Macaca fascicularis: one gene and its partners. The protein of the gene in region 2 interacts with the protein of the main gene of each other region in a pairwise test. Links are inferred from orthologs where the notes say so. Each region holds a gene or a part of one and is shown on either strand. Other genes may lie near its edges. The genes, in order: CALML3, IQCN and MID2.

Region 1 (3,152 bases), on a different chromosome or scaffold from region 2:
GGCCCAGCTCTTTGTTTTACAAAGGAGGAAACACCGGGTGGTGGTGGGCGGGGGTGGGTGTCAGGGAGAGAGGATGCATCCACCATGGCCTTTTCTGATGAGCTCCGTCTAGGGCCCACACTGGAAAACACACCTCCCTTTAGAACTGAAGGGATCTCTGGCAGGGCCCCTTCAACCTTCTCTGGGTGTTGCCGGCTGCTTGCAGGGCTAGGGCAGGACTAACACCTCTGCATGGCTCTTACCCTGTGTGTGCCCAGCGTGCCCCCCACCATCTTCTAGTGCCTGGCACTTCACAACCAGGGAGCACTTGCCACGGGGAATAAAAACAATCAGCAGGTCCCTTCTCAACATAATGGACTCAGGTCTTTCAAGTCCTGATGGACTTTTAACCACTCTTTGCTGCCAGCATATCCATTTGATTGAGAATATTCAAGATTTCCCTCATCCAGACTTCTCTCTCTCTGAGGCACCGCACCCCACCAAAGGAATTCATTGCATTTTCAAAAAGCACAAAAATGGAGATTCCTGCCTCGTTTCAACGCTGAATGTAACAAGGATCATTTCCATGGGAACCAGAAAAAAGGAAATGAAATAAGAACGAATATCTCATTTATTTCCCTGCAGCTCCCCTCCCCTGCTCATCCAAACCTCCCTCCTTCCAGATGAATAGGAACAGGTTACAGCTGACCCGGTTTCACTCCCAGCTTCAGAGGATGAATCACGGTGGGTTGGCCGACAAGGAAAGGGGCAAGCTGGGGCAGCGTGGAAGGCAGTGCTGTTTTCAGGAGGCCTAACCTCTGTGGCCACAGTCCCCATCAGCACCCCTTACCGCAGGCCAAGAGGCCTCCCACCCTCCAGAATCCGACTGCGGAGGGAGCCTCCAGTCCAGGAGCCTCCGGGAATCCTGGCGTGGGCTGAGGGCTGCAGCCGCCCTGGCCTGGGCATTGGGTGCCTGTTAGGGATCTTGCCTGCGTGCTCTAAGGGGTCACCCTGTGTCCATCCTGACTGGCCGCAGAGTCAGCGCAACCTGCCCTGGTGCTTGGTCCTAAGGTCAGCTCTGCTTCTCCCGAGTGGGGAGGGTTCCACGGTTTGCTTGGAGCGGGAGAGTTCCATGTCATTCAGATGAGCAGGTGGGAAGGTGGGCAGGAGCGCAGAGAAGAGATGCGGGAAGTGGGATGCAGAGAGGTGGGCAGAATCAACCTGGCCCAGGAAGACGCCACCCTGCCCTGGGGAGGCAGCGGGGAAGGAGGAGGAGGCTAGAGGCCCCGGGTTCTTGCCCTGCGGGCCGAGCGGGCGCCCAGGAGCATGGTGGGCGCCGGCCTCACTTGGACACCAGCACACGGACGAACTCCTCGTAGTTCACCTGTCCGTCTCCATCCGTGTCCGCGGCCCGGATCATCTCGTCCACCTCCTCGTCACTCAGCTTCTCCCCCAGCCGGGTCATGACGTGTCGCAGCTCCGCGGCGCTGACGAAGCCGTTGCCGTCCTTGTCGAACACGCGGAAGGCCTCGCGGATCTCCTCCTCGTTGTCCGTGTCCTTCATCTTCCTGGCCATCATGCCCAGGAACTCGGGGAAGTCCACGGTGCCGTTGCCGTCCCGGTCGATCTCGCTCATCATGTCCCGCAGCTCGGCCTCCGTGGGGTTCTGGCCCAGGGACCGCATGACCGTGCCCAGCTCGCGGGTGGTGATGCAGCCGTCCCCGTCCTTGTCAAACAGGGAGAAGGCCTCCTTGAATTCTGTGATCTGTTCTTCTGTCAGCTGGTCGGCCATGCCAGGGGTGGGGGCGTGGGTGGCAGAAGAGGCCACGGCGGGGTCTCCCTCCCAGTGCCGGAGCCCGGCTGCTGTCCCAGCTCTGGGGTGGCAGGTGGAGATCTGGGCGGCCGGCGGGCTGTCTCGCCCTGGCTTGAGTCGCTGGAGCTTAAGAAGCAGCAGAGTCCTCCCCCATCATTGGCAGACGCCCGTGCCCTGCGGTTGCCCGAGCCTGTCCTGTTTAGACAGGAGTCCGGGGCCTGCGAATTGAGCTGACGCCAGCACCTCTGTGCCTGCCTGCACCCGGACCCAGCAGAGCCACAGGGGCCCCGGAATCGCACCTGCAGTTAGGGCGTGGTGGGCAAGCTTTGGAGCAATGCACGCTGGACTGCATCCTCCTGAATTCCCCTTTCTCTCCTCCCTCCGGATCTCCCACCTGCTCCCTGTCTCCCCCTCAATTAACTCCAGTGCCCTTTCTTCTCTTGAGTGGAGGGCTTTTTGCCTGATGAAAGGCAGATGGAAGAAACTTCCTTGCCTTGGGTTTCTAAAGCCGTCTATAGCACCTGAGGGTTTTTGGAGGAGGAAGGTTTTTCCTTCAGGTAGAAGCAGGGAGTTTTCTTATCTTCAGAATGGACATGAATAGGGAGGGGTTTCCTCCAACCCATTCACTCATCCACCCTTTCACAGATATTTACTGAGTGCCTACTATGTGCAGTGTCACTCTGGAAGCTGGGAACACAGTGGGACCGGCAAGCCACCCCCAGTTCTCGTGAGGTTAACTAGCAAGACAGCTAGTTCGCAGGTAAACTAATCGAGGAATGCAAACAAGGTAACTAGGGATTGTTGATAAATGCTGACGGACATACAAGGTGGTGATGGACAGGACCCCGAGGTCACCTTTCGGCCTGGTCAAGGACAGACCCTCTGCTGAGAAGCAGCCGTCTAGGCTGCAGTGGGCATGGCGGGGCCAAGGGCTGGCAGATGATCAGGGGGGCTGCAGGCCTGTGAGGGAGGGGACAAGGAGGAGAGACAAAGGAGCCCTTGAAGGGCTCAGTCAGGAAGTCCCACTTCATAGTCTGGTCCACGGTGCCCCAGGAGCTCCAGGGAGCACGGAGCTGGGGCTGAGGGGAGGGCCTCTCTAGGAGGAGACCTGCTCAGGGGGATGGTGGGGTGTTCACAGCACAGACTCGGCTCCTACTCCCAGGGGGCCTGGGGACATGACCCCCAAAGAGGCAGGAGCAGGCGCTTCACCTGTGGGAATCCAGGAAATCCACACTGGGGGAGAAACATGGGACCCACTCTATTTTTTGCTGGGTGTGTAGGGGTGGGGCAGGGACCTGAATGGGAAAGAAAGTGTCCTTTTGAGGACCTGGACTTGCCGGGGAGAGACTATGGCAGGAGA
Region 2 (4,445 bases):
CAAGACTGGCTCAGGAGGGCGCCCAACTCGCCCTGACACAAGGCCTGGCTCAGAGCTGCCCGCTCCTCCTCCGTCAAAGCCTTGCTAAGCACCTCGGCCAATTTACCCTGCATGACCTTGGCGAGTTCTGCCCGCAGCTCGCCCTGGGACAGGGCTCGGGACAGGGTCAGGCGCAGCTCACTCCAGGACAGCGCCTTCACCAGCGCCATGCTCAGCATGCTCTGGGGCAGGGCTCTGGCGACAGTGGCACCCAGGAACTCCTTGGACAGGGCCTGGTTCAGAGCTGCCCGGACTTCTCCCTGGGAGAGGGCTTTGGCCAACAGAGTGCGGAGATCCTCCTGGGATGCCAGCACACCAGCTACTTCAGCACACAGGGAGGCCAGCAGGGAGCCTACCGTGTCCTCCTGGCAGGGCACCGCCTGGCTGGGCATTGATGGCTGGGCACGCGTGGCTCCGCTGTCTCCCCAGGACTCAACATGACATGTGGAATGTCCGGTGGGTGCCATCAGTGGCACCAGCGTACCCTGGACCTCACAGGCTGCCGGGCATGGTCCCCCCTGAGTGGTCTTCCCCGGCACATGTCCATGGGGCTTTGGCTGAGTCCATCTGTCCTCTGGCTTGGCCCAGGGTGGGGCACTCAGGCCACTGAGGTGCTGGCAGGCCTGGTTGGACACCTTGGACCCTGTTAGGAGCACCTGGGAATGGGTGTTGCTGCTGAGATCAGCAGCCTGGTGAGCTGGGATGAGGCGCTTGGTTATGATCGGCTGCCCCCGGGACTGCGTCTTGGTCAGACAGGTGGCCAGAGGCACTTGGGATTGGACCTTCATGGCACCTGTGGCCAGATGTGCCTGGGAATGCATCTTGCTCAGACAGGTGACCAGATGGGCCAGGGATGGGGTCTTGGTCAGCTCGATGGGCAGATGTCCCTGAGATGAGGCCTTGGTCAGCGGGGTGGCCAGTGGTCTCTGGGACAGGCAAGGTGGATGTCTCTGGGATGAGGCGTTGGTCAGTGGGGCAGCCGGCTGTCCCCGGGGCAGGGTGACAGCCACGTCTACAGGCACATACAGGTGAGATGGCTTGTCCCCTTCCTCAGCAACTTTTGTCCAGGATGGAGCCCCAGCCACTTCCACTGCCACACTGGTCTTCAATGCCATGTCAGCTTTCACCGGTTTCTGGGGGCCAGTCTTGATTTTCTCAGCTTCCAAAGGAAGCTTAGCTGGAGCCCTGGGGACCCCAGTTCCCAGACGTGATTGGGCCAGGCACCTGATCTTCCCCTCAGCCAAATAGGAGGGGGATGAGGCTTTCACCGCCTCTGCAGCCTGCTTCATATTCATGGTGGCCTTGGCCTTGGGTGGGTTGTCATGGATGGAGCCTCGTACCGCCACTTGGGGTGGAGCCTTGACATTTGCCACTGTTGGAGAGGCCAGACACAGGGTCTTGAGGATGGTGGCCACTGAGCGTAACTGGGCTGGGGTCTTGGTTATCATGGCTGCCAGGCGAGTCTGGCGCGAGGGCTTGGTCAACCCAACCGGGCTCATCTGGGATGAAGTGTTGGACGTGGTGGCTGCCAGACACGTTTGCAGTGGGCTTTTGGCTGGGGTGGCGACCGGGTGCGTCTGGGGTGGGGTCTTTGCCATCGCAGGCCCTGGGCATACCTGGGGTGGGCTCTTCATGATGGAGGCCAGAAGGGAAACCTGAGGTTGGTGCTTTGCCGTGATGGTTGCGCGGCATGTCTGCCGTGGGGTGCCAGTTCTGGAAGCTGTGGAGTGCACCTGGATCTTGGTCATCGTGGGCATGGGGCATGTGTGAGGTGCAGTTTTGGTCATCACTGTGGGCCCCGGATACATCTGGACTGGGGTCTTGGTTATTGTTATTTTGGGAACAGGGCTAGTCTTGTGTGGGGTGGTGGTCGTCGTGGACGCTGAATATGTTTGCGGCAGGGTCATGGAGACCACCGGATATGTCTGGAGTAAGGTCTTGGTGATCACAGGCCCTGGGCATATCTGGAAAGGGGCTTTGGGGGTCTCTGCTTCCACAGGGCCCTGGGTTTGGGCTCTGGATGGTCCCATAACTGCCTTGTCGTACCTTCTGGACAATGGCGTCTCCGGAACCCCAGCTTTGTTGGTCCGGGCAGTTACACGTTTGGTTTTCACTGAGTCACCCTCTATGTGGACGAGGCAGGTGCTTCTGATGGTTCTGGTCAGCAAGCATGACTGGCATTTTGCATCCAAACTCACTGGGCAGGGAAATCTGATGGTGACCGTCTGGTGTGGCAGGAAGGCCACCCCCCGGACTCCAGCAGCATGAGGAGCCTGCACACAGGGTTCTGGGGTACCCTGAGCTGCTGGAGGCTTCAGGAGGGGGGATGACTGGGGTCTGCAGAGGACCAGATTGTCATAGGAAGGGAACTGGGTCTCCTTGTTCACCATGACGGGCGGGGACAGAAGGCAGTTCTCTTCCGGATGCTGGAAGCGCACCTGCTGCGGGGCGTGATAAGGGATGTTCCCGTCCTCCGCCCTCACTTTCTTCACCAACAACTTGCTGGAGTGCAGGATGTGTCTCTTGTTGAAGCGCCGCCATGCCTCCTGGATGGCCTTGGCCGCCGTCATCTGGGAAATCAGCTTCTGCCGGAGCCGATAGCCCCTCCAGTTGGCTTGGATGAGTGTGGCTGCGCGGGCGTGCATCATGTCCATCTCATCTACCAGGATGTTCTTGAAGGCCTGGCTCTCGACCACAGCCCGGAGGCGTGGGATGTGGCGGGACACTGTCTTGGCTGCAGCAGGCTGTTGCGGAAGATGCTCCTCGGACTTGAGGCCCTCGTGCTGGGGCTGTGGAGGTGCTTTCTCCATTTTGTCCGGGAGACTAGGGGTGGGCGGGGGCTGGAGGATGCACTGCCCATTGGGTGACAAGTGGTTCGTGAACTGTAGCTGGGTGGCCGGCTGCATTGCCTTGATTACTGGGCAGGTCAGCTCTGCCTGTGGGGGCGGCAGGGGGTGGTAAGGGTGTAGCAGGTCCTGCAGACAAGAGGTCATCCTACGGCCACTTCATCCTGGCACACAGTGCATGACACCTGAATGCCGGACCACTTAACTGCTTTTCTTTTTTCTTTCTTTTTGTTTTTTGTTTGTTTTTGAGACAAAGTTTCGCTCTTGTTGCCCAGGCTGGAGTGCAATGGTGTGATCTTGGCTCACCGCAACCTCCACCTCCTGGTTTCAAGTGATTCTCCTGCCTCAGCCTCCCGAGTAGCTGAAATTACAGGTGTGTGCCACCATGCCTGGCTACTTTTCTGTATTTTTAGTGGAGACGGGGTTTCACCATGTTGGCCAGGCTGGTCTCAAACTCCTGACCTCAGGTGATCCACCTGCCTCGGCCTCCCAAAGTGCTGGGATTACAGGTGTGAGCCACCGCGCCCGGCCCGCTTTTCAAACTTTATCTTAGATGTACCCTGGGTTTAGCACTGATCACAATGTTTTGGAAATTTCCTGTTTGCCTGTGTGTGTGTATGTGTGTGCGTGTGAGAGTGTGTGTGTGTGCGCGTGCGTGTGTGCGTGTGCGCGTGTGTGTGTGCGTGTGTCTGTGTGTGTGTGCGCGCGTGTGTGTGTGTGTGAAAAGGATAGAGAAGTGTGGTGGGGGAGATTATTTGCCTCTCCCATTGACTGTGAATCCCAGAAGGCAGAGTCATTATTGTGTCCCATCTCAGTCATAGGGCTTGGTTCTAAGCTGTGAATGGGTAGGTATTGGGTGGGCGGGCATCTTGACCGATAAATGGTGAGGGGATTGGAAGTTGGATGGACAGATAGATACAGGACTAGATACTGAAAGGATGAATCAGTCGATGAGTGAATGGTAGATGGGTTGGAGAGACAGATGAAGGTTTGGATGAATAGGTAAATTAAGTTGATGAATAAAGTCTTAAAGGCAAATTGGCCAGGGGGGTGGCTCACGTCTGTCATTCCAGCACTTTGGGAGGCCAAGGTCGGCAGATTGCTTGGGGTCAGGAGTTCGAGGCCAGCCGGGCCAACATGGTGAAACCCTGTCTCTACTAAAAATACAGAAAAGTAGGCCGGGCACAGTGGCTCACGCCTGTAATCCCAACACTTTGGGAGGTCCAGGTGAGTGGATCACAAGCTCAGGAGTTCGAGACCAGCCTGGCCAACATGGTGAAACCCCATCTCTACTAAAAATACAAAAATCAGCTCAGCATGGTGGCACATGCCTGTAATCCCAGCTACTCAGGAGGCTGAGGGAGGAGAATTGTTTGAACCTGGTAGGTGGAGGTTGCAGTGAGCTGAGATCATGACACCTCGCTCCAGCTTGGGTGACACAGCAAGACTCTGTCTCAAAAAAAAAAAAAGAAAACAAAAGGAGCCAGGTATGGTGGCGGGCACCTGTAGTCCCAGCTACTCAGAAGACTGAGGCAGGAGAATCGCTTGAAGCCGGGAGGA
Region 3 (4,198 bases), on a different chromosome or scaffold from region 2:
GATCTCAGCTCACTGCAAGCTCCGCCTCCTGGGTTCACACCATTCTCCTGCCTCAGCCTCCCGAGTAGCTGGGACTACAGGCGCCCGCCACCTCACCTGGCTAGTTTTTTTGTATTTTTTAGTAGAGACGGGGTTTCACCGTGTTAGCCAGGATGGTCTCGATCTCCTGACCTCATGATCCGCCCGTCTCCGCCTCCCAAAGTGCTGGGATTACAGGCTTGAGCCACCGCGCCCGGCCGGGGCCAGACTTTCATCAGGGCAGCCTGGTTGTGATTTTTGCCTTGGTTTCCACCTCAGTGATCTCTAGCACATTGTTTCACAGGAGTGTTGACTGATTACTATTGGTTCCCTGAAGGGATATACCAAGAGATACCTCAATTTTTCTGGGCTTGTTCTTATGCACAATGATGGCAGGCGTGTGTGTGTGTGTGTGTGTGTGTGTGTGTGTGTGCGCGCGTGCGCGCGCGCGCTGGGGCAGGTCCTCTCATTTCATTTCTTTCCCCTTGTTCTCTCTTTTTGCCCCAAGTTAGAAACAGTCTCTTATGGGGCTTCCTGCTCTTTCCCTCTCCCATCCACCTTTTGAGTGGGGGTCACTCCAGACCAATGGGAGGATGCTGGATTCCAAATGGACCAATTAGCTTATTAGGGACCTGGAATACCTGGATAGCTAGCATCTGCCTCATTGTCCTTGTGGTAACGACCCTCTTGTTTTACTGGTCAACAATTTGAAGGTACAAGAAAAATCCTGCTTTTTTTTTTTCTTTTGATGGCTTTAATCCACCTTCACAACTTCTGCCCGAGGCCAATAAAACACAGCCATTCTCTCTTTGTAAAAAGAAAGAGGGGTTGGGTTTCCTTCAATTGTCTGCCCTTTTCTATCTCCTCCACTATTTTTGTTTTACTCTGTAGTTAACTTTGCATAGAGCAGCTTCATGGAGAGGATCTGTGCGGTGGACCCGGGCACTCTCTTCTTATTACCGGTTGCAAAGGCCTCTTCCTTGTTCTAACCTGGGGTTTGTGGGGCTGGGGGACAGAGGAGTGGGGAGTGGGAGAAGAGTTTAGCCATAGTCTTCCTTCTGCATTTCACACACATTCTGCTTTCTCTGTCGCTCTGTCACTCACACACACACACACACACACACACACACACACACACAACACACACATACACACACACACACCCGCCCGGGTCCCTCTCTCTGTGTCTTCCTTCAAGATGACAGGGCGCTGGAGAAAAGGCTGCTGGAATCAGCTGGTAGGTACAGTAGTAACCCGAGCCCCACCCACCGGCTGCCTTTGCTTGCTCAGGTTTCTCCGGTCACTCCTGCCAGGGGAGAAGACATGTAAACGTGCCTCCAGAGGAAGGGCTGGGGGAGCTGGGAGTGGCGGGGGCGGCGGAAGGTGAGCCTGGGAAGGTGTCCGAGCGCCCCTTCTTCTTTGGCCCTTCCCAGTGCTCCCTTGGGGTGTCAGCCCCAACCCCGTTTGCCCCCACTCCGCCTCCCTTTTGGAAGGGATTGCCTTTTTTTTTCCTCTGCGGCGGCGGAAATGACAGTGTGGTGCTGCCGTGGTGTCATGGTGCTGCCCCTGGACTGAGGGGCGAAAACTCTTAACTTCAGCTCGGGAGACCCAGCCGCGGTAGCATCGCGGCCGCCGTGCTATCCCCTGCGGGGCGCGCGGGCTGGCGGATCCCGGCTGCTGCGCGGCGTCGGCGACGGTAGCGGCAGCTGCAGCGAAGGCGGGCGGCGGCCTAGAGTGGTGGCGGCGGCGGCGGCGGCGACCGGGGCCCTGGAGCTCGCGCCGGAGCCCGAGCTAGCCCGCTGCGGAGGCAGACGAGCGCCCAGCGCCCTCGAGCGAGCAGAGGAGATGGCTGGCACCTGGGAACGCTATGGGTAAAACGCGCCCCCTCGCCGCGGCCCTGGAGGTCGAGCGTCGTCGCCCTCGCAGGGCTCGGCCCTGGCTCCGGCCGCTTTTCAGGTGCCGCCGGGGCCCGGCGTTAGCCGAGGGCTCTCGGGCTCGGCGGGGCAGGGTGATGGGGCCCGCGAGGCTCGAGACGGCGACGGGGGCCCCAGATCAGCTCCGGCTCCCAGTCATGCTGTTGGGGCTCGGGTTCCTGCCACTGCCCTCCTGGGACAGAGTTTGCACTCCGGGGTGCGGGGCGGGGGCGGCCGAGGCCTCTGCGCAGCCGGGCCGGGCCGGGCGCGGGCAGTCGAGCGAATCCTCCGGCGCCTGGGCGCGAGTCTGGGAAAGGGCACGGCCGCCTTCCCACGCTCCCGCAGCCGGCAGCCTCTTCGTCCCCGGCGTCGCCCCTTGGCCGGCCGTCTGCCGGGCGGTGCTGTCGCAGCAGCCGGCGTGGCTGCGGACGCCCTGCCGGCGGGGAGGCCCGGTGAAACTTAATCCCTTTTCTGCCAGGGGAGCGATCCTCGAGTCTCCGTCTGGATGGTTCCTTATTTCTGGCCTAGCTGTGAAACCAGCTCTGTGGGGGAGAGGGAAAACTTACATATGTCCACAGGACAGACTGCGACGCAACCAGGGAGAGTGGGGATTTTCCATTCCTGCCTTGTAAGAATTAAGTAAATAACGGCAGAGTAGATTTACAGGAATATTACTGGTGATGATAAGGTTTAGGTTACTTAGCACTTCGTGTGTTGCACATTATTTTTCAGAAGTGTTGCTTCTTAGAGCAGGAAATTGAAATCCTGGAGTCGTTTTACTCTTTACTTTCTCTCTCTCTTCCACTGTCCCCTACCGTTTTCATGATCACTCACCTTCCTATGTCACAACACTTACATGACTATGGAAATCCCGCACTAGAGCGCCTTGGACCCCAGGCTTTCCCCATCAACCTGTGCCCTCCCAGCCTCCCAGCCATGCTGCATCTTACTTCTTCAACCACTTTGCCTTTTGAGGATTTCTGAGTGTGGGGCGGATAGATGGTGATGGTTGTGTGTCTCTGAGGATGAGCCCTTATAAAGGAATATATTGGAAACTAAATAGAGAAGTACCATGTGTGGGTTGATCCCTCTGATTCTCAACTTGGGCCAGAAGGGCTGCCTTTAACCCCATTCTGCTCCGTCCCAGTACTCTAATCAGTTCTCTGGCAATATTCCAATAGAAGGGAGTTGCTGAATAGGGAGTTCTCCTCCCCTACTTTTCTTCTGTTTGGGGAGTGGTTTCATTCTACCCCAGATGGTTAGCTTCCCCCTCCCCACCCCCCCGACACTCACATCCCCCTGTCTGTCTCCTCTCATGACTGTACTGAGGGAGAAACTGTCTTTGCTATTTTTATATATTCCTGCCCAATCAATGAACTTAACATGGGTATATAATGTGAATTAGATTTCTCCTGATTGCTCCTCACAACTTGATTCATGTGTTTGATAAAGTTTGGATATTTATCCCTGCCCAAATCTTATGTACAAATGTAATCCCCAGTGTTGAGGTGGGGCCTGATGGGAGGTGACTGGATCATGAGGGCAGATTTCTCATGAATGGTTTAGCACCATCACCTTGGTTGACTGTGAGTCCTTGTGATAGTGAGTAATCTCTCCTGAGATCTGGTTGTTTAAAAGCGTGCGGCACTTCCCCCCAGCTCTCTTTCTCCCTTGCTTCTGCTCACACCATGTGAGAATCTCCTGCTCCCCATTTGCCTCCCTCCATGATTGTAAGCTTCCTGAGTCCTCCTCAGAAGCAGATGCTGGCATCACACTTCCTGTACAGCCTGCAGAACTGTGACCCAATTAAACCTCTTTTCTTTTTTTTCTTTTCTTTTCTGTTTTTTTTTTTTTTTTTGAGAAAGGGTCTTGCCTCGGGCTTAAGCAATCCTTCTATCTCAGCATCTTGAGTAGTTGGGACCACAGGTGCATGCCACCACACCCAGCTAATTTTTGTATTTTTTGTAGAGATGGGGTTTTGACATATTGCTCAGGCTGGTCTCGAACTCCTGAGGTCAAGCGATCTGAGGGCCTCACCAAGTGCTGGGATTATAGGCAAGAGCCACAATGCCCAGCCTACCTCTTTTATTTATAAACTACCCAGTTTCAGGTATTTCTTTAAGGCAATGCAAGAATAGCTAATGCAGTGGTTAAAACACAGGTCCAGGAGTCAAGAAGATCAGAGTTCATCCCAAATCTGATGTTACATTGGCTTATGGCTTTAGGACATTCCTATGACTTTTCTTTCTTAGTTGGTGCACTTGTGT

Evidence for each region.
Region 1: the proteins of IQCN (region 2) and CALML3 interact in binary tests that used the Homo sapiens proteins (3 or more experiments, as listed by UniProt). The two-hybrid records come from large-scale screens. The link is inferred for Macaca fascicularis from reciprocal best matches to the Homo sapiens genes IQCN and CALML3.
Region 3: the proteins of IQCN (region 2) and MID2 interact in binary tests that used the Homo sapiens proteins (3 or more experiments, as listed by UniProt). The two-hybrid records come from large-scale screens. The link is inferred for Macaca fascicularis from reciprocal best matches to the Homo sapiens genes IQCN and MID2.

What each region holds. Positions count from the first base shown.
Region 1 is NC_088383.1:6,448,601-6,451,752, reverse strand, and holds CALML3 (calmodulin-like protein 3), read right to left. Parts: upstream 1,897-3,152; 5' UTR 1,772-1,896; coding exon 1,322-1,771; 3' UTR 593-1,321; downstream 1-592. UniProt on the Homo sapiens protein: May function as a specific light chain of unconventional myosin-10 (MYO10), also enhances MYO10 translation, possibly by acting as a chaperone for the emerging MYO10 heavy chain protein.
Region 2 is NC_088393.1:18,628,806-18,633,250, forward strand, and holds the start of IQCN (IQ domain-containing protein N), read right to left. Parts: upstream 2,946-4,445; coding exon 1-2,945. UniProt on the Homo sapiens protein: Essential for spermiogenesis and fertilization. May be required for manchette assembly in elongating spermatids.
Region 3 is NC_088395.1:114,394,453-114,398,650, forward strand, and holds the start of MID2 (probable E3 ubiquitin-protein ligase MID2), read left to right. Parts: upstream 1-1,320; 5' UTR 1,321-1,885; coding exon 1,886-1,889; intron 1,890-4,198. UniProt on the Homo sapiens protein: E3 ubiquitin ligase that plays a role in microtubule stabilization. Mediates the 'Lys-48'-linked polyubiquitination of LRRK2 to drive its localization to microtubules and its proteasomal degradation in neurons.